Linked DNA regions of Tribolium castaneum. The protein of the gene in region 2 interacts with the protein of the main gene of each other region in a pairwise test. Links are inferred from orthologs where the notes say so. Each region holds a gene or a part of one and is shown on either strand. Other genes may lie near its edges. The genes, in order: Mbs, mitogen-activated protein kinase 1, Git, Es2 and Dhps.

Evidence for each region.
Region 1: the proteins of mitogen-activated protein kinase 1 (region 2) and Mbs interact in a two-hybrid assay, tested with the Caenorhabditis elegans proteins (3 studies listed by BioGRID). The link is inferred for Tribolium castaneum from reciprocal best matches to the Caenorhabditis elegans genes mpk-1 and mel-11.
Region 3: the proteins of mitogen-activated protein kinase 1 (region 2) and Git interact in a two-hybrid assay, tested with the Caenorhabditis elegans proteins (3 studies listed by BioGRID). The link is inferred for Tribolium castaneum from reciprocal best matches to the Caenorhabditis elegans genes mpk-1 and git-1.
Region 4: the proteins of mitogen-activated protein kinase 1 (region 2) and Es2 interact in a two-hybrid assay, tested with the Caenorhabditis elegans proteins (3 studies listed by BioGRID). The link is inferred for Tribolium castaneum from reciprocal best matches to the Caenorhabditis elegans genes mpk-1 and ess-2.
Region 5: the proteins of mitogen-activated protein kinase 1 (region 2) and Dhps interact in a two-hybrid assay, tested with the Caenorhabditis elegans proteins (2 studies listed by BioGRID). The link is inferred for Tribolium castaneum from reciprocal best matches to the Caenorhabditis elegans genes mpk-1 and dhps-1.

What each region holds. Positions count from the first base shown.
Region 1 is NC_087394.1:37,236,623-37,241,584, reverse strand, and holds the start of Mbs (protein phosphatase 1 regulatory subunit 12B), read right to left. Parts: upstream 3,430-4,962; 5' UTR 3,343-3,429; coding exon 3,094-3,342; intron 1-3,093. Other genes in the region: uncharacterized protein DDB_G0286299, read left to right, coding at 3,993-4,018, 4,071-4,320.
Region 2 is NC_087395.1:21,096,996-21,101,344, forward strand, and holds part of mitogen-activated protein kinase 1, read right to left. Parts: intron 892-4,349; coding exon 765-891; intron 1-764. UniProt on the Caenorhabditis elegans protein: Functions in let-60 Ras signaling pathway; acts downstream of lin-45 raf kinase, but before the lin-1 gene product in controlling vulval cell differentiation. Plays a negative role in proximal germline proliferation in the mitotic zone.
Region 3 is NC_087395.1:18,435,294-18,440,363, reverse strand, and holds the start of Git (ARF GTPase-activating protein Git), read right to left. Parts: upstream 3,650-5,070; 5' UTR 3,503-3,649; coding exon 3,445-3,502; intron 3,395-3,444; coding exon 3,261-3,394; intron 3,211-3,260; coding exon 3,101-3,210; intron 3,057-3,100; coding exon 2,870-3,056; intron 2,824-2,869; coding exon 2,693-2,823; intron 2,639-2,692; coding exon 2,464-2,638; intron 2,418-2,463; coding exon 2,345-2,417; intron 583-2,344; coding exon 397-582; intron 349-396; coding exon 1-348. Other genes in the region: Mul1 (mitochondrial E3 ubiquitin protein ligase 1), read left to right, coding at 3,952-4,056, 4,102-4,417, 4,464-4,948.
Region 4 is NC_087401.1:9,414,783-9,419,797, reverse strand, and holds Es2 (splicing factor ESS-2 homolog), read right to left. Parts: upstream 3,410-5,015; 5' UTR 3,040-3,409; coding exon 2,893-3,039; intron 2,837-2,892; coding exon 2,683-2,836; intron 1,541-2,682; coding exon 480-1,540; 3' UTR 436-479; downstream 1-435. Other genes in the region: protein mothers against dpp, read right to left, coding at 4,521-4,984. UniProt on the Caenorhabditis elegans protein: Regulates pre-mRNA splicing.
Region 5 is NC_087394.1:3,355,390-3,359,926, forward strand, and holds Dhps (probable deoxyhypusine synthase), read right to left. Parts: upstream 2,965-4,537; 5' UTR 2,833-2,964; coding exon 1,966-2,832; intron 1,507-1,965; coding exon 1,300-1,506; 3' UTR 972-1,299; downstream 1-971. Other genes in the region: TBC1 domain family member 13, read left to right, coding at 1-114, 481-603, 646-772; MCPH1 (microcephalin), read left to right, coding at 3,175-3,624. UniProt on the Caenorhabditis elegans protein: Catalyzes the NAD-dependent oxidative cleavage of spermidine and the subsequent transfer of the butylamine moiety of spermidine to the epsilon-amino group of a critical lysine residue of the eIF-5A precursor protein to form the intermediate deoxyhypusine residue.

The DNA.
Region 1 (4,962 bases), on a different chromosome or scaffold from region 2:
CATTTTTTTTTTATCAAACTTATAGACGTGTGGCATTAATTTATTTATTGTTTTTATCCATCGTTGGTAATTGATTTGGTTAACAAGGATTTTGGCATGAGTGATTCCACGGCAAAAACCACAAAGGTCATTGACTCGACCAAAACAAAAATAAGATTGCAACAACTGCACATTGTACGAGCTCGTCGGCCAAAATAATGTATTAAATTGGTTTTTTATCAGAAAAAACACCAGAGGACTTGGGAGGTATGGCACAGATTAGTCTGAATTGAGTTCTAGTAACGCTCTAGCTCGCAAATTAAACTAAAATCGCTACCCACAAAAAATTCCAACGGAAAAGTTCCATCGCCTATGCGCAAAGTCAATCCTTGGCTAAAAAACTTTTTCGCGTATTTCTGGTGTTCTCGCCTTGCCAAATACAAGCATCCTGCTAGAACGTTATCGGGTTTTCTCAGACCTTCCCGAGGCTGTTAGTTGTGTAACTAATACACTGTATGTGAGCCCCAAATGCGAGATTATGCCATACCTCAGTCAACCCCGAGTCAAAATCATCACATAAAAAACCAAACAGAAATATTAAAGGAGGTTTTTATCAGGCATCGATCGTGAGTCAACAGACGGGTCTGTAACAGATTAGTCTGAATTGAGTTCTAGTAAAACACTAGCCCGCAAATTGAACTAAAACAGCCGGTCACGAGAAATTCCAACGATAAAGCTCCACCACCTATCGCCAGAGCGAATCCTTGGCTTTGAAACCTCATCGCAGATTTCTGGTGTTCTCGCCTTGCAAAATGCAAGCGCCCTTCTGGAGCATTAAAGACACATCTCAGACCTTCCCGGGGCTTTACAAGTGTAACAAGTACACAGTAAGTAAGCCCCAAATGCAAGATTGTCACAGACCCTTTATGATCTCAAACTGATCGTTCAAGTCATCATTTAAAAACCTCGCCAATCTAATAATTTTGACAAGTTTTACGGCGTGTAGAAATTCGCCAAGACTTACGACACAACTCGACACGATTATGCCATATATGGAAACCTAAACCTGCATAAAACATACTTAAAAATATCAAGTGAAGACAAAAGGATTGCATCAATGGGCTCGGCCGCTGGATATCTCGTGCAAATTAAATTCAACAAAAACGATACGAACCAGTCGACTGATAAATTGAATGCCCACATTATTCATTACCGACGAGAAAGAACGAGCTACTCTGTCTGTACGGCTTGACTCATCCTATTTAGTTAATTCCTTATCGGATTAGTTCAAATAATAACCATCGACTTTATTGTCACATATTTGCTCAATGCCGAGCTATGTATCTAAGATAAATGTTAAAAACGTGAAACTACACCCTGGTGTAATTTCTTGAAATAACCATGACACAACTATGGGAGGGTTACACCGAGTATATTCACCTTCTAATTGATGAACACACAAGTTCAGAAATAACATCAAAGTAATGGAACAAATCATAATATTTACAATTTACTTAATATCGAAACAATAAACCTTTTCCTTTTAACAATAGAAAGCCGCCTGACATGAAAAATTACACACACACACACACAAAATCAATCGAAAGACGCTGCTTTACGTAAGACAAAAAATATATCAATAATTGCCCCACTTGATTCATTTTAAATTTAGTGGAGCCTTATGTTTTGAAGGTCTTCTATTAATATAATCTTAAAATTCGGACCAAAAATAAACTTTCATAATCGGTAATTATTACAGCAAACACTATTTTATTATTACATAATTACAAGACAAGCAATTAAATTAGCTGTAAAAACTAGACCATTATTACACCGCTTTGTGTTTTACTCAAATGCCATTAAATGCACAAATGGATCAACACGGGTCTACCCTATTTACCTGAATCTGTAACAATAAAAACATTTTAAACGAATTTTCTTGTAATGGCAATTCTTTCATGTGTCCGTTTTTTAATGTCTTTTGAAAGCGTTGTCATCGTTTAAAGGCAGAATTCAATGATATTGATACAAGACTGCATGTAAATGGAGCAAATATGAGCTTCTTTCTACAAAAATTTAAATTTACTTGAAACTGGCTCAAAATTGATGGATGTTGTAAGTTGTTCCCAGTTTTAGTTTCAAAATTCTTTTATTCTCTTCTCCTTTCTAAACAACCTTATTTAATTGCTATATTATCTCTTTAATAAATTTTCTTTAAAAATAAAACAAAAACCTAGAACTGCCCTTTTTCATTAAGATTGTATTTGCTAGTGATTAGTGATGCCAATGTTAAGACCATTAACATTTTCATTTAACTAAAAAGCAGACTAATAAAAAAAACACAGTAATTCGTCTTTTTCGTCAAGGAATTATCGACAATAATAGGTTTTTCAATGAATGAATGCAATTTATTTTTATGTTTGTCTGAAAATATCCGAAATACTTCTCGAATTAGAAATAACAGTAAAAATAAAAGCCCTCACTGAAGACGATCTTTATTACGGTTGACACCTACTTGCTCATTTTATAGCGATTTATTTGGAATAATATCCAAGTAAAGTTGTGTTACCTGACTCACGTTGAGTCTACAAACCATAATTTTACAACATGAACTCATAAATTGTGTCAGAAATTGGGTACATCATTTTTTAGGTAACAGTTACATGATAAAACGTAAAAAATTATGTCCGGGAAATAAAATTTAGCGTTTTTTGCCCCAAAAAAATGAGTAAATAAACAATATAAAAACTTGTATTTAAACGAGTTATGCTCTGTTAAGTAATAGCGTAATCTTAATAATATTTTTAATGATTTCTTTGTAATCATCTTAATAACACTGTTTGGAAGTTGGTGTTATTATAAACATAGTAAATAATTATAACAATTTCCCAGAGCGTTTTTATCTCATCCATTCATTGGAGCAACGGTTCTTCCGCCTTGGGAGCAAACACGGGTTTATCTGTGTCAATTTTTTATCGGAAATAACGATATTTGTTCAAAAATAGTGAATTTTTTGGCTTCTCAGCTGTAGTAGCCATGTTGACACGGGTTTTACGTCACTGGGAAATGGGGTACCAGGGCCACAGGTGGACATGGTTTCGATGGTACAATTACCTGGTGGAGGGCCGTAAGACCATCGACATTGGCAGTGTTTATGTCGGCACCGTTTTCCAAAAGTCTCAAGACTTCATCTTTATCACCCGCGGCGCACGCTGCAAGGAACACACAACCCGACGAAAATTTGATTTTCCGCGAGGTTTGTTTCGGATAAACCGGCTCGCGATTCGTGTCCGAGTCCTCCCAACGTTTCAATTGCTCGGCCCTTTTGAAAAGGGCCGAATTCGAACGGGTCTCTAAAGACATGGTTATTTAACACTTTTCACAACGGCCACCATTACCCACTCCTCACCAAACACCTCAAAGTTCACTCGGTTGCTGTTTGACAGAGGGTGCGGTTGGCGATAATGAATTTTACCGCGACATCTCCCGCCATGCTCTAAACACTAACAAAAACAGAAAACCGCCACAAAAATAACAGTTAATTTTAATTGTTAAATTACAAAAACACAAAATACATAACAAATAGCAATAGAAAAACACAAAACCATGCAATTGATTAAACACAATGCAAAAATCGTATGCAAAAACAGAGTTTTATTACAATGTGAGCGCCCCTCGTGAGCGTCCTTGAAAGCAATTTTTACCGGAAATTGTTCACCGCCATTTGTCAGACGCCATTGTCGTAAGCGTCCTAGCCGGTATTTGTTGCTGGTTTTTATTTTCATAAAAAATTATCTTTATTTTTCACCTACACACATAAAAACAGTGTTATCACACGTCCCGTTGTGTAATTTCGCCAATACCCTGGTTCGGTAAGTAAATTTGGACCACTCAAATTGTTTAAACCCACCATTAGAGATTAAAAATTCGGCGCACTTTTTCCATTACTTCCAGTTTAATTGAAGTATATTTTGGTTTCAGTAAACCATGAGTTATTACAAGCCCAGGTAAGAATGCGTGGCGTTTTTTCGAATTCGAAGTACTCGTAAGTTTTGTACAATTTTTGAGTTTCGGTTGTGTTTTTTTTCCAGTTACAGTCAAACAGCGGCCATGACACGTGGTCGGGGGTATTCTCCACGTGGGTATCGTGGGGGTTCGGGACGTGGTTCATGGGGCGGCGGACGAGGCGGTTATCATAGCCGAGGCGGTGGCAGGAACTTCGATTCATCGTTTTCAGACTCTTTTGACTCGAGGTCCAAATATGGGGGCTCCAGCGATCGGTATTCGGGCTCCAGGGGACATGGCCACGGCCATGATGATTTCCGCAAGTCGTATCGCATGGTAAGAGGGTGTAGTTAATTGTAGTCAAAAGTAACACAATTGTTGAATGTTTCAAGGGTTTTGGTGACGTCTGTGCGCATATCTTAACTGTTTTATGTGTTCTTTTGTATTTTATCGGAAAATTAATATATCAGCTTACTTCGTTACTTCACATCTAAATAAACACCAAGACTAAGTAATCATAAAAGCCAAGTTTTGTAAGAAGGACGAAAAATTACCTTATCAGTAATTACGTAGAAAATGATCTTATTTGTGCTAAAAACTCACTTATTTTGCGAAGTTTTAATTTTTTATGGTAATTTTTTTTGAAGTCGAAAATGATGTGAAATGGCAGGCTTAGCTCATTTTATAAATGAAAAACTAATATTTTTTTGTGTTTTTAAGGTAAAAGTTCATTGTTCACGTAAATCTAAAATTCGGAACTTTTGTCCTTTTCAGATGATTTTCTTTCAGACAAAAATCTTATTTAGCATAATTTCGTTAAAACGGACCAAAAAATCACAAGTTAAGGTCAAAAATGAAATGATTTTCTTTTTTTTTTTGTTAGATTTAAAATGTTATTAAGAATGAAACTCGCTTATTTTTTTTATTTTTTGTCAAAAAATGATGAAATTAGGTCGGAATTGACGTGAGTTTTTTTGC
Region 2 (4,349 bases):
CTATGCTTATCATGATTTATCAAGTGTATGTAAAGTTAATCAATAATAATACTACACTAACTGTAGTCATTCTGATGCACCACCTGATTTATTTATAGCAACGATTTTGTCAACCCTCAACAATGTCAATCACATCGGACCCACATCACACTGAGCTCTTTTAACCTTATTACAAAAAAACTTTTGCAGGGATTTTAAATACGTATTCAAGTTTTCTCGTTCTCTTTTTACATTTTCCAGCGTTTTAATTCCGAAAACCATTCCCAACTCCTGTGAGATAGTCACGATTTGGGCTTAAATCTGTCGAAGATTAGGCGAGGACTGATAAATAAGTAACGAGGATTTCAACTTATTCAATAATTATTCATTAGCTGAGTTCTTCCGTATCTCTCCATAACATCAGCAAATCCCTAGCGACAGCGTTGCGATCGATTTCGGTCAAATAGGTACACAAATTTAACTCCAATATTCAAGAAAAGGAAAAAGAAGAGTAGCACTTTTTGTAATAAAACAAGGAAATTGAAATTTTCCAATTTTACGCAGCCTTCACTCAAACACCGAAAATTGTCATATATTTATGAAAAAACAAACTTTGTAGCGAGTCGACAAATGCGACCACCATTCGCAAGGTGCCATGACAATTTAATCATAATAAAAAATGTTAAAACGCGTCGCGTGAAAGTGATGGATGATTCGGTAGTTTTTTCCAAATAACATCAACTTAATGAAATTTTACCACCAATGCAACATAGGAAAATACTTACATTTTCGTGTTTAAACCTTGTGAGTATTTTAATTTCTCTGAGAGTCCTCTGGCAATAAGTTTGATGCTCGAAAGGGGATATTTTCTTAATCGCAACTTTTGTATTTGTGGCGGTATCCAGTGCTGATCTGTAACAAGAATTACATTCCACTTCAAAAAAAATTAAATCATGGGAAGATATGACAACTGCTCCGTCTAATTAACGAGCTTTCCAGTTCCTCAACAATTCAAACTTCCAAGCACAACGAAACAAATCCAACTGTATTAAAATGAAATGTCATTTACAAGCGAGATTGGATTTTGGTGGAAAAATTGTGAATTTGCAAATACGTTCCACTTATTAGGGGAAAGTCGGCAGAGGCTGGTTAGAAAGGTGGCACAAATTTGTTTAAATTTAATCAACTTCGGAAGAATATCAATTCAAAATGATTACATTACAGACTTCTTTTTTCCTTTGTGAGCCGTATCAAACAATTAACAATTAAATTAATTTTCACGCATTAACTGGTGGACTGATTAATATAATTAGCATTACCTAATTATCACGTAAATATCAACAAGTACAAACATAATTACTATAATTAATGTTAATATCTAGAGAATTATGTTTGTTGGAAATTGCAAGTGCGCTAGTAATATTTTTTGCTACAAAATAAATTTCTTTATTATTTATTTAAAGTAATACTATAGACAATATGCAAATGAATGTGATGAGTGAAATTGTTTATACTTATACATTTTTAGACAAATTAAATGCTTTGTAGCCCAAAAAAACAGGCAGAAGTTGGTCTTTATTTCTACATATTCTCATTTCTCATTTTTAAGTACATTTAATAATGTTATTTGACAAACAGTGACTTCAAAATGTTAAAAGTTGCGAGCTTTTACAGTCAACTAAAAAGCTCAATTAATATCACTAGTTTACACGCACTGATCTAATTTTACACGATTTATATACCTTATATAAAAGTTATAATTTTTTATAGATTTTCAGGCGCTGAAATCAAAAAAATATATTTGCAAATATCCGCAATGTCACTTTTAAGAACTATATGTTCTTAATATATAAAAATACAAAAGTAGGTATAATTCTAAAACCGCCAATAACAAGAAATGAAAAATGAGTTACTTTACTTTGTTTTTTTTGCTTTTAAAATTTTCTTCTAATTTTGTGAGCTTTTCAATGAAAAACGATCCCAAATTCACAGCAAATAACACACTTCAGACCTAGTTTCACAAACTTCCACTCTGTATTGACAAAATCCTTCAAATTTTGTTAAGTATATCGTTGAAATACAGGGTGTATCAGAAATACGTGTGTTAATGTAAACACGTAATAAAACTCATCAAATACGACAACTTTTCTATGTAACATTTTGCAAAATTAGTTATAATTTTCACTGTTTTCCTCCCTTCTTTTGTACAAACGAGCCGATCAGTGTTTAATAATTAGTTTGTATTTATAGCAACAATTTTCATTGTTGTTTCAAATTGTTTAAATTGTCCGTTTCTATCACAACAAAAATAGTTCGGCTCTTTTATTGTTCTACCTATAGGCGGGTACACGTTTTCAGTATGTTATTTTTTTCTAAATTTTAAGAAAATTTACGAATTTTTTATTGAAAAATTACAAATAGAAAACATGTTTTATTTGTTAAGCTCTGTTACCTGTTAAAATTAAGACACGTATTTCTGATACAGCCTGTATATACAATATTCCTTAATAAATAGAAAGTCACATACATTTCATAGTTTGGTGATCTGCTTGTACTACATTTTGGCCAAATTGGTTGAATTTAATGAGTTTCTAATGACAAACGCTAGAAAAAATCGGACGGAAGAAGCAAATTTATATAACGATCTTTATCTTCAATCTTTCAACAGAACTTTTCGAGTTTCTGTAAAAAAAAACGGCAAAACAAGTGCAAGTAACAAATTTCCGACTTACTTTTGCAAGTGTTTAAAATAAAAATATTCCTAAATTCATAAAAAATAACAAATTTTAGATCTGATTTAACTAATATTTAAGTCAACCTACAATTTTAGAAGGTATAATGTGTTTCAGATTTATTTTAGCGATTTTTCGTTTGGCTAAATCTTTCGAATTTAGTGAATTTCTCGTGCATATATACATAAAAATGTTTTAAATTTATTAAAACAATCAAATCCAATGATATATTAGTTTTTGTTGTTTTTTTTTTAGTTAGTTTTTCATTAAAAAATGCTCCCAAATTAAAAACAAAGTCTTTCAAATTTTGTGTGTTTATCGTTAAAATATTATGTTTTTATAATGCCCAGTATTTCAATTGACCGCTAAACTAAATAATTCTGGTTACCAACTTATTTTCTGGTTTAGCGTATTTCAGTGCTTGGTTACGAATTAAGGTTGAACTATACTCGACTCACCGTCCAGGTGGGCATGCGAATGCACAAATTTGAAACTCAATTTTTAAGAAAAATAACACACAAAACCGTTTTTTTAAATTGGATAATGTTCCTAGGTTCACTTATTACCTCACAGATCGGTTATTATCTCGATCTAAATATTTGTAACCAAGTTATAACGGGGTAAATAGCGTAATAATCTTAATGTTTTTATGGAAAAACCTAGAGTTCAAATGACATGAAAAAAATATAGTATTACAAGTAAGTCATATACAAGAACTATACAAAAAATTATCAAAAAACATAATACAATTTTTTAATGAAAAAATAAAATGGCTAAAATTGAGGTTTTTTCATTTTATTTTTAAATGACTAACAATTTTTTTTCAAACTTATGTATATTGTTGCTAAGGTTCTTAGAAAGTCACCATATTTTTTTCAAACAATTTGAACTTACAGTTTTTTTACCAGAACAACAAATTAAATCGACTTTTTAACCAGTTTAAACTCGGTTACAAATACTTAAAATGAAATACAAACTGACTTGTGAGGTAGTGACTGAATGTTCTTTTTTTATTATTTATTAATACTGGGTTTAAGTATTCATACATTTTTTTTTTCAAATTCATTGTAAATTTCCGGTTAAAAAACGCCAATACAAGAGCAACAAACTATATTTTTGCAAAACATTTCTAATTTAGTAGAGAAATCTTTCATTTAAAATTGTTTCCGAATTTACAAAAATAACACATTTTAGAGCTGATTTAAAAATTTGACGCTTACTTATTTTGATTTAAAAGTTATCCTAAAATTTTAGTCACGTAAGAATATTTTCTTTTGACATATTTTTCAAACCCAGAATTTATCGTCAAAAATTTCGGACATAATTTTCTGTTTTTTTTTTTGGTCAAAATATTTCTTTCTGCTTTAATGCGAGTCAGCAGTTCAGCAGTAATAATATCCTAACGTATTTTAATCACAAAAACCTTTCACAAGTTTATATAAGGTAAGTTTGCGTTTTTGCAAACAAAGTCATAAGGATTGTGACATACTAATGACATTGTTGTCAGAAACATTAAATGAAAAAGCTCGCATTCTTCGTCAGTTTCTATTAGCTGTTTCAAAACTATGTAAACGCCAACGTCGCAATTTACCAAGGTTTATAAAAATATAAAATAGTTATTAATGATTAGATCTCTCC
Region 3 (5,070 bases), about 2.7 Mb from region 2:
CAACATCACCGTTCGATATTATCGGTTGTAGCGAACTAAACTCATCGCCGTTAATACTGTTATTGGTCTCTGGAACTTTGCACTGGGACAAACGCGTTTTCAGTTCGATATTTTCGCACTTCAAACTCTCGACGTGCGCTTTTAATTGATTCACTTCCGCTTTGAGATCACAGATGGTGCTGTCCGACGCCTTCAATTGTTTTGTGAGCTGTTCGACGGTGTCGGTTTGTGGTTTTTCGTTTTCTTGAATTGGCGGCAATGCGTAATCTTCGTCAGGTGCCACAGAGTCGTAAAGCGGATCGTCGTCCGAAACGGGCGAATATTCACGAAGGTGCGTTCGATTGGGGCCTAATTAGGGGAATTACTACAGTGTTACCAACTGTGTTTGATTATTACCTGTCTCGGATAACAACTGGCGTCTTTGTGTGTCAATTAAGATATCAAAAACTAGACTTTTTAATTCAGGAGTTGAAAAACGGGCCAATTTTTGACGACCTTGATTTCGCGGTTTTGACATTGTTGAGTCCACGGGAAGGAAAGGGACCACGTTTAGATCAATTGCGTCCACGCAACTCAACCAAACTATAAACAGTTTTTGTTATTACTTACAAAACAACAATGTGTTATCTAAACTACGAAGGAATATAACGTAGGAGACGAAACGAGATACAAAAACGCTGGATTTTCTGAACTCAAAAAAATAGTACGGCAGAGTAAAAATGAGGGCGCGTTTTAATTAAATTAAAATCCAACCAATTTACTAATTACTTGGAAAAAATACAGAAATGTTGAGCTTTGCACTCTTAACAGTCTGAGAAAAACTGGCGACTAAAAGTTTCATAAGATATTTGAAAAAAAATACAGGGTGAATCAATACTGGGCTATTTCTAACATGTCCTAAGATAAAAATACTACATAATTGCACTTCCCACTTGTATACTTTATTTGATTTTTAAAAACATTAATTGAATCAACATTGGTTTTTTATCTTTATACAGTTAAATATTATAAGAACTATTCATCAAAACTTATTAAAATTTGTTATATGTTTAAGACTATATAAATTGTATAGTTTCAAATGTTTATTAAATTTCAATCTCCATTTGTTCTTCAGATACAAGGCTAACTTGTTTTTCTTAAATAGCAACAAGGGTCAAATTTAATATTTTTGAGAAGAGCATTTTTTCTGGGTTCTATGGTATAACACTTGCATACCTTGTTTTAATCAAAACTTTAAAAAAACATCGAAAATTTTGAAAAATGTAAAATTTTATTAGCCTTGGAAATGTTGTCTTTATCTATTGTTAGCTCATTAACTAAAAAATAAGTAAAAGTTGAAAATAATTGTTAAAATAACACTTTTAACTGAAAAAAACACGTTTTATTTAAGAAATTTTAAACACTGAATACTTGATTTTTATGCTACAAACAATATTCAAACTGATTTCCACTAACTTCTTGGCTTTCTGTCTCCACGAATTTTTTTACATTTTAATAAAAGTAAAGGTCATATATCATATTACATTATTGAATTCAGAAAAAAAATGCTCTTTTAAAATTGATTAAATTTGACCTTTTGTGCCATATAAAAAAAATCAAATTAGCCTCGTATTTTCAAAATAAATGAGGATAAAAATTTGAAAAAGCTCTCAGATGATAGAATTTAAACACTTTTAATTGTTTCCCAAATTTCAAGGTTTTCTGTTAAACCGTTCTGAAAATATTTAATTGTATCCATACTTTTTAGCGACTCTGTATAATAATAGTCCATAATGAAATTTTAGCAAAATGTCACGACAGACCAATCTGGTCAGGTGGATAGTAATATTGGTTGCATGTTTAAAAAATTTTAGAAGTAACCCACTATTGACTTACCCTGTATTTAAAATTTGCGCTTCGTCCCGTATTTTACTTACTAATATTTTTCTTGCATCTGTAACCGAATCGCAGCGTTTTGAAAAATATAGAACCGAGTGCAAATTGGTAAATGTTAAAAAAAATTAAAAATAGTTTACGATAAAACTTTTGCATTATGTTTATGTCTTACTATTGAGAATTTAATGTTTGTTTGCCTTGTGCTAACCGTTATGCTAATACAACATTTTTTAATTCATTGCTCTGAAAATTTAGAACAACTGCGCTCTCTGTCGCCATTAACGGAACTATCGAGGACGGTACCGTTTTATTTGTAGATTTGTAGATCGTTTCGTATCCTAACCTTTAGATATCCGTAATCTAAACCAATAGTTGGCACTTACCAACTTCCTCAAACTTAATCAATAGCAAAAAAGAATGACACTGATTAGATAAGTAGGCTATTTCTCAAATGTTTTTTGTTACTTACTTGCTTCTGTTTCCCGCCTGTCAATTTCATCATACACGTCCATGGCTAACTGTTCAAAGAGCGCATTTTTCATCTAAAAACTGAATTATAGCAACTTTTACCAATCAGTAAAATCACACCTTTTGCAACTTTGTGAGGGAATTAGGATTTGATTCAAAGCCGCCTTGTGGCAAAATAAAATGTATGCCATTTTGGTGATCCGGCCTCTTGTGAGTCAAATACTGTATGAACGCATCCGTAACTTCATATTGACTTTCTATTAATCTGTTCAACAAATCTTTATTGACATTTTTCCTGAAACATGGATAAAAAATGTATAAACAGATGATGTCATGAGTGGATATTTACTTTGCATAATCGATGGGTGTTTTGCCGTGGGCATCTGGGAATGTTGGATCAGCACCGTAAACTAACAAAAGTTCCACTTGTAACTTCTGCTCAGTTTTAGCGGCTATATGTAGGGGTGTGGTGCCCCTTTCCTAAAATTTCATTTGTAAAAACTATCAATTGGTAGTGATATTTTACATCGTGAAAATAATTCGGATCAGCTCCTTGCACAAGTAACCGGAACGAAGTCTCCAAATTTGGTGTCCTCACGCTAGCGTGCAGCTGCTTCCCCAGCTCATTTTCAAGCCCCTCGTCATAGGTGGCGTTGTCGCGGAACGTATAAGCGCACTGCAGGTGCTTCGCCTTAATAAACTCGCTCTTGACACTGAAATTACACTTTATACAAGTAGTCTCAAACGTGAGCCCCACCTGATGGCATCTTTGGGATTGGGCTTCTTTTTCATCAATTTCCCGTTGTTCTCCAGAAGATTGTGCTCCCATATGCTGTTAGCCCCGTTATTATTCAACGTACACACCATCTGCAAGTCAGAATTAGTCATTTGTTAATTGGAGAGATAAATGAACTGACAGCTAATTGGTTCGGGTTCCAACTGCCCTTTTGGAGCGACTTCACTTGTGAGATGTGCCGCCCGAGACTGCGGTGTATGCTGCAGCATTGCGTACAGAGCAGAATGCCCTTATTTATGGAAGCCCAAGTCGCATCTGCAATTAATTGGGAATTAATGAATTTAAACTTGACGGATGTGACTCACCAGGGGCACCACAGTCGCCACAAATTTCGACATTCTGGCGCGACTTAACGCGAGACATCGCCACAAACGAGTGTTTATGTTACGCCACTATCACCAATTAGTGTTAAAATATAAACAAACAAATGTTTGATTAATAATATTTGTTACGCCATGTTGGAGGGTTTTCTTGTCAAATGTCACCGTGTGGTACAGTTTCCTGTAATCGGCCCAAAAAAATAATTTTTGATAAAAAACAAACGTTTAGAGACGAATTTCTAAATTTCGTTGCGTTCGTTTTACAATAATTTACAGTCTTGTGTTATTCCGAAGCCGAAAATCTACACATTTTGAAGTAAGAACACAAATTGTCAGTCAGCTTTGCCAACCTAACCAGAGTTAGGTTAAATTGTCAGTGATAATTTTCAATTGTAATTAATTGTTATCGGTAATAAATTGCCGCTTTTATCTAATTTCCGTGACAATGATAAGTTTGTAAATCCCCAATTTGTTACAAAAGTAAAAAACGAAATGGATTATTTAACGGAGGGCATAGCCCTGGGTGTAGATCTCGTGATCTTGGCGGCATGTATCAAGCAGTACTACAAGAACAAGAATGCCATGGCTATGATCCAGGTAATGGCATGATTTGTGTGAGTTTGACTAAATTATAAATTTCAGGGGGCCCCCTATCTCACCATCAATAAAGACTTGAAAGAAATAGTTGAGACACATCCAGAGAAAAAACTGTCATACGTATCCATAAGGGGAACTGTTAAACCACTAGGTAGGCCTATTGTCAGCAGCAATAATCCAAATGTAACAGGCGTTGTGCAATTATTACGAATTAAGGAGCATGTAATCCAGCGGAGTACGACAGGATTTTGGTCGGACTCCGAACGTGTTGTGCAGGAAGTCCACAATGTTATGCCTTTTTCCATTGGCAATAAGGCGGTGTTTGTGGAAGTTGCGGACCCGTTAGCTGCTGACGTCTTAGGTGGGTTTCAAGGTTTATTTAACTTTTTTAAATCACACGTGTCTAGATATGGATACGATATCGGACGTCTTCAATCCGACTGTTCCGAGTGTCATGGACCACATCTGGGGCTTCTTTGCCGGGATCAGGCAACGGGGGGTCCAGTCGACTGAGAAAATGTTAAGGGAGGGCACCACTATTACGGGGATTGGGGAGTTGGTTTATTCACAAGATTCCAGCATGTTGCGGCTGCAGCCCCCATCAAACGGGGCCCCCTTTTATTTAACAAATATGCAAGTCACGTCGCTGGTTAAAAAGTTAGACGGCTCTAAACGAAATTACAAGTTACTGTGTATATTATTCGGAACAATCGGTTTAGTTATTGGGGGTTTCATAATTCGGAAATATTTGCGCCATAAAGACAGACAATTGGAGGAAAGTAAGCGGAAACAACAACTGGAAGAATCAAGACGGAAGAGGCGGCGACAAATGCGTGATCAAAATTTACCAGAGAACCAAATCTGCGTCGTTTGTAAAAATAACCCAATTGAGGTAAGTTGTTAAAAAAATATATTTGGAAAACTTTTTGACGTCCTTGACTTGCAATAAAATGTAACGACGAAAGGAGCAACTTCCTTAGAAGGTTTTAAATAAAATGACGAGTTGCAACGTTT
Region 4 (5,015 bases), on a different chromosome or scaffold from region 2:
ATTATTTTATTCGTTTCGCTAAACAATTCAAGTGCGATAGTCAAAAATGTTTATATTTTGAACGAAATATTTGTACAATTTTCACAACTCTTCAGCTTCCACCCATCGGCTCTGTCCTCAATACAATCGACACCACTCTCGCCCACTCGGCTCTCAAGTCTGTGACATTAGTTATCGTGCAAGCTGTACCTATATAGCCTTAGAATCACCCCTTTTTAACTTAGAATTGGGGTCAAATTCAAATAGTGCGCTGTAAAACTGTATTTTTTTAATTATTTGTAATTCTATTGTTCACTACAATAAATAATCAAATTGACCAAATAATTGTTTAAAAATAAAGTTAATTTCATTTTTATTAAAACATTTGCCACTAAATTCCAACTAGACCAATTTTAATTATTCTAGGACTTGGGGAAGCCAATAAAAACAAATTACCAGTTTTAACAAATATTTATTAACCAAAAATAAACAATCTCCAATTAGAAAAAATCGGCGGCTTTGTGCCTCTTCGGCACACTAATCTTCAACAAATCATCGGTCAAATTATCGATTTTCTTGATCCCCAGATTCAGTTTAGGCGTAACCATCCTCTTGGGAGTCCCCGGAGTGGCCCTTATTTTCGGACTGGGCGTCATAAAATCACCCCTTAAACCCAACCTGGAGGTGGCAAATCGTCTCGCCGCCGGCGACATGGTTGCCAATCTTTCCGTCCTCGGGGACGGCGTCGCAAACCGCCTTCGCGCCGCCTCCATAGCCTTCTGTTTCCTGTCTCGATTCTTCTCTCCGACTTTCTCAGCCAAAGCTATGGCGAGCTGTTCACGACGTGGGGGCTCCGACATTTTAAACGAGGGGCCTTGCGAATGGGGCAGGGGCGTATCGCTGCCGTCCAGTCGAAAGGGGGTTCCCTCGATTTCGCCCCACGTCATCAAGGGGGTGTCGGTGAGGTTCGGGTGGGGCGAGGGGGTCTTCACGAAGGAGAAGCCCCTGATCTGGGGGCTGTCTTTCATCAGTTCTTTGCCGTCAACGCCGATTTTACCGTCGTGGATTTTCGCCTGGTTTTTGGCCAGTTCGGTGATAGCCTCCTTGCTTTGGATTTCGTTGAAAGGGTTGATGGTGAGGCGGGTGTTACAGTGGACGACTTCTTGCCGGTTTTTGTTCAATTCCATTTCTTCTTCTTGTGTCAGGGGAACCCCGTCAGGAATGTACATTATGTAGTTTTTATTTTTGTAGCTCCAAGTGTCCACGTTTAGTTTTTTTTCCGGTAATTCCCCCTGTTTCACAATTGAGGGCAAAGCCAACTGTTCCTGTCGCTCCTTCTCACTGTTGCCCTCCTCCTTGTATAAAAACGAATACTTCTCCTGGTGCTTTTTCTCAGATTCGGCCAAAATCTCACTAAAACTGCGATTGTCCTCAGACGTGTGCGAATTCAAAAACTGATCCAAACTCAATTTCGGTTCGCTTTTCTCAGGGGGTGGCTTTGGCGGGGCTTCAGTCTCAAACGAATTGTGGACAGGTGTCTCAAAAGTCGCAGGGCTTGGTACTAGAATGCAATTAATACACAAAACACACTTTTTTACACACTTACTCGGTAATTTTTTACTTTAACTACTTCTGGATTTTCAAGCTGAAACTTACGCCAAACGATTCCTCTGAGTGCCCTGATGACCGTACACTATGAATTTTCTTGTGCAAATTGAAAATAACATTAGAAAAATAATTTTTATTTTCACTCATTTCACTTGAATCGCCATTTTTGTTGATTTTAAGGGATACAACGTTTGCCACCAGGGTGTGCATGCGTTGCGTGTGCTTATTTCTGATTGGCTGTTATTGTTTAGCTTCAACAGGTAAGAATCGCACCTGCGTGTTTGTTATGATTATAACACCTTCGGGTATTCCCAGAATGAATTTAAATGACGTATTACACCTTTTTCATTAAAAAGTAGGTGTATTTTTTCATATTTTGCAATTTGAATTTATGTCTCTGTGCTCTGATTGGCTGATTGACGGAAGTGGGGATGCGTTGTTGCATTCCCGCATTTCCCTTCACGCAATTTACCAACAACACCACTCCATTACTATTTTACTTACTAGTGGTGAACAAGGTATTTTTTTGTGAGTGCTACGTTCTCGAGGTTAATTTACCAATCGTGGTGTATATTTCCTTTTAGTTAACTGGGGCGCAGCCCCAGCCTCCGGCCACGAACTGTACGGCACCCTAGCTCCATAAAAAACACTATTCCACGTGTCGAGTTCCACGTTTTCGAGTTTAATTGGTCGTGGGGTATGTTTCCTTTTAGTTAACTGGGGCGAAGCCCCAGCCACGCGCAACATAGTTCCATAAAAACCACTATTCCACGTTTCGAGTTCAACATTTTCGAGTTTAATCGTCCGTGGGGTATGTTTATTTTTAGGTCGCTGGGGCGAAGCCCCAGCCTGCGGGCTATCATCTGTAGACGCCTTGCCTCATTTATAGTTACATTTACGGTTAATATCATTTATTAGAGTGTTAATAATTTAAAAAGTCTACGTCAAGGTCATTCAAAGTCGAATTTTTCGAAAACGGGGCATTTGCACAAACTTTCATGGTCATATCTTTGATCTAGAGGCTTTTTAAAGCAAAATGCAAAAAAAAAATTTGCAAAAATCCAGAAGTAGCTAAAGTAAAAATTTACCACTTACTCCTCTGTGTTGGCGGTCTATTCCCGCTATATTTCATATAAAGTTGCCTCATTTTGGTCACATCGTTTCTCTCAACGGCTTCCAAATATTCGTTCTGGGCTTTGAGTTTTTCAAGATCGGGGAAAAAGTCGCGCTGGATAATCTTACCAATGTGCTAAACAACAATTCTGGTGAGTTTCAAATCCGCAAAAAGGTAAATAAACAAATTACCTCCACATAAGTGTCTTCATCTAAAACCTTCTCTTTGACTCGTTTCCGAGGCGTTCCCACCGGTTTTTTGAAAATAATTTCCTTCTGGATGTCTTTCATCACGGCAATTGCCTGCCGCCCGGGTGTATTTTCCACGTTTTCACCCATTTTTAAGTGATTTTCCACACTGTGATAACTTTTAGGTTAGCTGTCAACGAAACGTCACAACAAACTGTCACTTTCAAAATTCGTTAATTAATGATTAATCAATCATTAATGCAAGCGTAATCGTGAGTTGCGGTTAAAACAATTTTTTTTATCAATTTAATATAAAATCGCACATTATTAATTAATTAGAGAAACTAACCTCCAAAATTTGTGGTGCCCCTATCGGCAACTTTCCACACTAAATAAACGGGCGCCAAATTTGAATTGTTTAGCCAATAAATTGAATGCTTTGGAGTTGAACTTTTCATTGCACGATTTTTATTCAATTTCACTTTACTTGAAGACTAAATATTAATTGGTTATGCTAACATGAGTCCGATAAGCTTTTCTTCATTCAAGCCGGCGACAACGATTACAATTTTTTGGCACATTATGTTAACACATACACAAATCGATACACAAGCAGACGTAGCCAATCCTAAGCACAGGGTAACGTTTCTTATTACCAAAAAACGAGACAGTAATCCACAATTTTATTTAAAACGAAAATAAAAAATTGCACTGACAATATAAAAAGGTGTACTTTTCGTGGTATAGTAAATATGGATAATATCTCAAAAATATACACTTCGACAGCTGGTGCTGCCACCCAACCTTTTTATCGTTGATAAAACAAACAAGAAATTGAATACACAACTATAAAAAACTTGTAATGTAACAATAACTCTTTAACTTATGTAAAATGGACAATATTTTGATTTATATTTTACTTACAAATACACTTATTTTATCCTTACGGCTAACGGAGTTTATTAATTGCACAAAATATTCTTTATGATTCTATTACACTCGTATTTGTACCACCGAACCAGTTGTTCAGCCAAAGGCAAATCTTCCTCGAGGATCACTGCAGGAATTAAGTACAAACGTAGAAATTTTGTCGAAACCAGCTCGAAAAATAATTAAGAAAAAAGATTTTTCAGTTGGCAATAAGGACATAACCAAAAATCTTATCGCGTCAAATGTCACACCGTTGCCAACCGAAACAAGCATTCTTGATCACCCGGTATATCAGCGACCTGCATTGATGCTTGAGAAAGTTTTTAATTTTTTTTTAATATACAGGGCGGCACATTCTTGCTAAACTTAAAATGCTGTCATTTTTTGCAAGAAGGCCCCACCAAAACAATAAAATAAAGTCAAACAATATTTAAAAACGCTGTCTGTGAATTAAACTGTAAATAACCAACAAACCAATAAAATCGTAGCCATCTAGAGATCAATTAAGACAGACACATTATAATTAATAATTCGTTATAATTACATCCAGAATTTACAAGTTTTCAGCTCGGTTTCCTGTACACATAAATAATCATTCGTCGATGCTGAAAAATGCACTTTACCGTAAGGCAACACGTAATTTCCCACCGTTGCATTTGCATAACCTGAAATGGCACTCATACGTCCCGTGTTATTACCGATTACGAGACCGAACTTATGGCATTGTGAGGGGACCCCATTTGGGTCAGCACCTTGTCGAGCCACTGGAGGGGGCCGTTGAGATGCACCTCGATCCAGCAGGGGGTGCTTGTGACGTCCTGACGATGGTATTCCGCGCCCCAACCCTTGACGAAGCTCATACGTATCATACACATTTTTGTGAGTTCGTAAACGGCCTCAAAACCATGATTCACGCATTGGGAGAGGAGTTGAGCAAATTCGGCGTTGTTGAAAATACGCAACGAACAACCAGCCGGGATTTTACACACGGCGGATGGGTGAAACCCATGGTGGTGGTTACAGTTGCGGGATTGGACGAAAATTGGCGAATCGGAGAGACATTCGGCGTAAACTTCGCCGTTGACGTAGTATAGGTGGACCCCTTTGCCGATGTGACGGCGGGTGTTTTCGATGGTTGAGTTGCGGTTTACGTTGCTTAGTTGCCCTAAACATGCCAAGAGCCAAATTGTTACACA
Region 5 (4,537 bases), on a different chromosome or scaffold from region 2:
CCACGGAATTAACAAAATGATGAGCCGGATGTTAGTACAATTGAAAAACAGCGATCTCGACGTATGGCTCAAGTTTCAACAGTTGGAACTCAAGCCGCAATTTTATAGTTTCAGGTGGGTGACCGCCTGATTTTTTTCTCAAATTTTGCTTTATTCGTTTAACGAGGTTCAAACTTAGTAGAGAGACAAAAATAAAAAACACTTGAAAACCGACAAAACCATGTTAAAAATTTTGACATTGAGATAATTTTCATAGCCTTCTTTGATTTCAATTTACTATTTACATAACTGGTGAATATGTCAACATTTTACTACTTACTCACTTGATTTTCTAATGACATTACTAAGCAATAGCAATTATCGCATTTAAAGACATGAAAATAGCTAGTACTGTAAACCTAGATATCGTAAAAGTTGTCATTTTTGACAAATGTCAAACTTTTTAACTTAGTTTTTAGTGTCAAAAAAGGGAATTTTTAGGTGGATTACGCTGTTGCTATCGCAGGAATTCCCCCTGCCTGACGTGCTCAGGATATGGGACACCCTGTTCTCAGATGAGTCACGTTTTGATTTCCTGATCTATGTTTGTTGCGCCATGATTGTGTAAGTTGATTTCCAAGAAAAAAATTTAACGAAAAGTTTCAGTATTTTAAGGAACAAGTTGTTAAATGGCGACTTTCCCTCCAATCTCAAATTATTACAAAACTTCCCACCCATGGATGTACAGATTATTTTATCGAAAGCTGTCGAATTATCGAAACAAAAGAATTAAGAACAATCAAGTTGCCATTTGATTTTATCTCAAGCTCAAACTGATCTAGTTGCCATTTCGTACTAATTCTCCCCCACAGCCACCTTGAGCATTTTTGCCAAAGTATCGGTAATCTATCAAGGAGGCTGTGCTTCAAACACACCCTCGATTACGTAAAACGTGTCTTGGGATTCTGTTCCTAACGAGTAAAACTCCAACATCACGTCATCAGTTTTAATTATTATCTTAAGCATTTATCAATTATACCGTGATATATTACAAATATTAAGTGTTTTTAGGTTAGCAAATATCATGACAGGTACTGTAAATTGCCCAAAGCATCTTACGCCGTTCTGTACCATGCAGTTAACTTTGAAATTAAGTTGGCAACACGCTGAACTTGCCAGTTACTGTTGCCAACTAAATTTCAAGGCCAAAGGCTTTGGAATTTGAACTGGAACATTAACGGCACTCCGAACTTCCATTTAAGTCAATTTTATACTTTTCATAAGCAGTGAAATTATTTTATTAATAAAATTATAAAGTTTCTATTTGTCTTTGATTTGGACCTCCTTTGCGAAAGTTTGGGCCACCAAAAGTGGGAAAATCAAGCTGGCTTCGGCGTAGATTTTCACAGGAGTGGCTTCTTTTTTTATTTTGCCCCAGGATTTGGCCTCGTCGGGGCGGGCCCCCGAGTCACTGCCGTCAAACTCGGAGGCTGTGTTCAGAAACACGCAAAAATCGGCACCATTTCGCTGAAATTTTCGATTAAATTCTTTGATCAAGTGGGCTGTCACTTTGAAATTAAGTTGGCAACCCCGAATTTATTAGAAATAAAAAAAATCTGCGGTAACTGGGATTACAATAATTACTTTTTAAAAACTGAGCACTTCCCCGAATATTTTGTAGAAAATTCAATAAAATGAAAATGTATTTCGTCAAAACAAGCCAAAAACTACAAAATTATGTTAGTTTTGCATTTTTTTAGTATTCTAGCACGTTGTTCCAAAATCTCGATAAAAACAAGCCATAAGTACGCAAATAAAAAAAACAATTACATAACTAGACAGACGTTATTTTTACATTTTTTTGAGTTAAAAACTCAGATTTGGCACTTGTTGAGCTGACAACACTGGTGCTATAGTTGGCCTAAGTGTGACGTTTGAAGGCAAAGTTGCCAACTTAATTTCAAAATCACAGGCCACTTTAATTACCATTAAATTGGCATTGCAAATGTGGTGCTTGACCACGCCACCCCCGATTATAATCATCCCGGTGTTGATTGCCTTCATTGCCATTAAATTTAACTGTCTCAAGTCCGAAATAATGTCCAAAACCAGGCCCGGATTTCGGAATGAGTGCATAAACATCATATCGCCTATGCTTCCATCAGTCAAAGCCGGGCAAAAAACAGGGATTTTATTTTTAGCAGCCCAGTAATAAATACTTTCGTCGTTATTTATCCTTTCACCTAGCCTAGTTATGACTTTACTGGGGCTCCACAAAGCCCCCTCTTTCTGTTCAACTAACATTTCGTCCAGAAGGGGCATAATCCAGTTCTCGAATTGGCAATAATTATCATTAGGCACTAACAAATTCCCGATTCTATTGATCCCATTACTCCTTAAGTTGACCCCATCTAACGCAAAATTCCCCAGAAACGTGGGGGCCATACACTTGATAAAGTCCTCCTCTACGCCCCCCGCTGTCGTAACAATACAATCAACCAACTTGTGTTGCACTAGAAACTTAATTGTCTCGCGTAAGCCACTCGAGACAATATTTGAGGTGTACCCCAAAAAAATCGCACAGTTGTTCTTGACACCGATAAAGGGGTCCTCATTATCGACGTACCTGTCTTCGGGAATTGGGGCTTTGCGACATTCGATCATTTTGTTGATTTCTTCAACGGCAAGTCCAAAATTAGTGGCTTGAAAACCGGTGTGCAGATAACTTTTGAGGAGTTTGTCATAGTTCAAGCCCTGTGACCAGTCGTAACCTGACACTTTTTCTTTAAGAAACGACGAGTCTTTTGTTTTTTGCAAAACTGCCTCTGTTAGGGCTTCAATGGGGGCTGCCATGCCCACACCTAACCCCACAAATCAAACTAACACTAGTCACAGGTGTGGCAATGCCTGGGGATAAAGTCACTAACATCCAGCTGCGAATTTTAACCGAACGACCCATCCCGTGATAATTTAATGCCATTTTGTGCCTTTAGAAGAGTTAGGGGTGATTAGGGGGCGATTTTGGTAATTATTTGTGGTGGATTGGCCCAGTTGGTGATAAGTTCCCCGTTGGTAGCACTGTTTAAAAGTCGCTTGGCGGGATCGTAGTGTGCTGTGATGGTGTTTTGGTAAACAGTCAAAAATGTGATATTTTGTGATTTTCCTCGTTTCCTGTCTGTGTTTTCAACTTAAAACATGTCGACAACGCAAAGCGACATTCCCTCGTCGGACATAATCGCCAGTTTGATGAAAGACCCCGTCAAAAAAGCCCAACTCTTGCAGTTACTTGTCCAGGAGAAAAGTGGCTTCGAAGCCTACAAACGCCAGGAAGAAACGAAAAAAACGCCTCTAAAAAATGTCAAACGAAGGGTTCATTGTGAAAGCCCTACGGCCGTGCTGCGTAGGAGGATGCTCGAGCAGAAAGACCAAGACTCGACCTCCGATTCTTCGGATTTGAGTGAGACAGCTAATGAGGTTAAGGGCCCCAAACTGCCCTTTGGCGAGCTGTTGAAAGGGGTGAGGGCTTTCGTGGACGTTAATAGGGATGGGGTTGACAAGTCTGAAGGCATCAAAGCTGTGATGAAGCTGATGGGGGCCACGATCAGGGAGCAGTTCACGAGGGACGTCACGCATGTTATTTTTAAAGTAAGTGTGGGGTTATCGGTGCTGGTATGCGGCTTACTGATTTTTTCCAATTTTTATTACCCTTTTTTTCGTGACTTCGGTAATCCGAACTTTTTCAGAAAACAATTTTGTGTTTGCAATTTTTTCTCATTTTTTTTTTAGTTTTTGGGAGAATGTATTAACTACACTAAACGTCTTGCGTTCAATAGATTAACATTAGTTTGGATTATCGTGGTCGCACTGTATTTGTATGTTTTGTGGCCTTGAGTGTCTTTAAATAACAAGCATTTAACGACAGCCCCCGTATCTGCATTGGCTTGCTTTCGCACATTATTAAATCTTGTCTTGTAGGGAAATACAAGGAGTTTGAACATAATTTTACACCTGTAAGATGCAACCAACAATACATATTACACGTAGGGATTGCTATAATTAGTCAAATTATTTTGTCCAGCAAGAACCACGTGGAGGTCTAAAGCATTCTTGTTAGGAAGGAAAGGAAATAAGGTTGAGATAAACAAAGATTATTATTAGAAAATGTATAAATAAATAAATTGTTTGTTTGTGAAATGAAATACAAAGTACAACACAGAAATTAAGTTTTCTCACTTGGCAATAAATAAGAAATAGAATAAAATACACTTACCTTTATGGCATCTTTTTCTGCTACAGTTGTAGCGCAAGACATTAAAAATATATCATAATATCACATGTTCAACATCTTGTTGGAGATGAAAAATAATGCACTTACCTTTGTAGCATTTTTTCCTGTAGCAAAACATTAACAATACTGAAATTAGAACTGTGAACCACTGAATTAGTAGTTGAAAATATTACAGAATTAATGTAGTTTTTTTAGAATGAAAGTAGTGCAGATTTAATCTTTAATACTGAATAAATCGTATTAGGAAACAAATTGAAATTTTTAAACTGC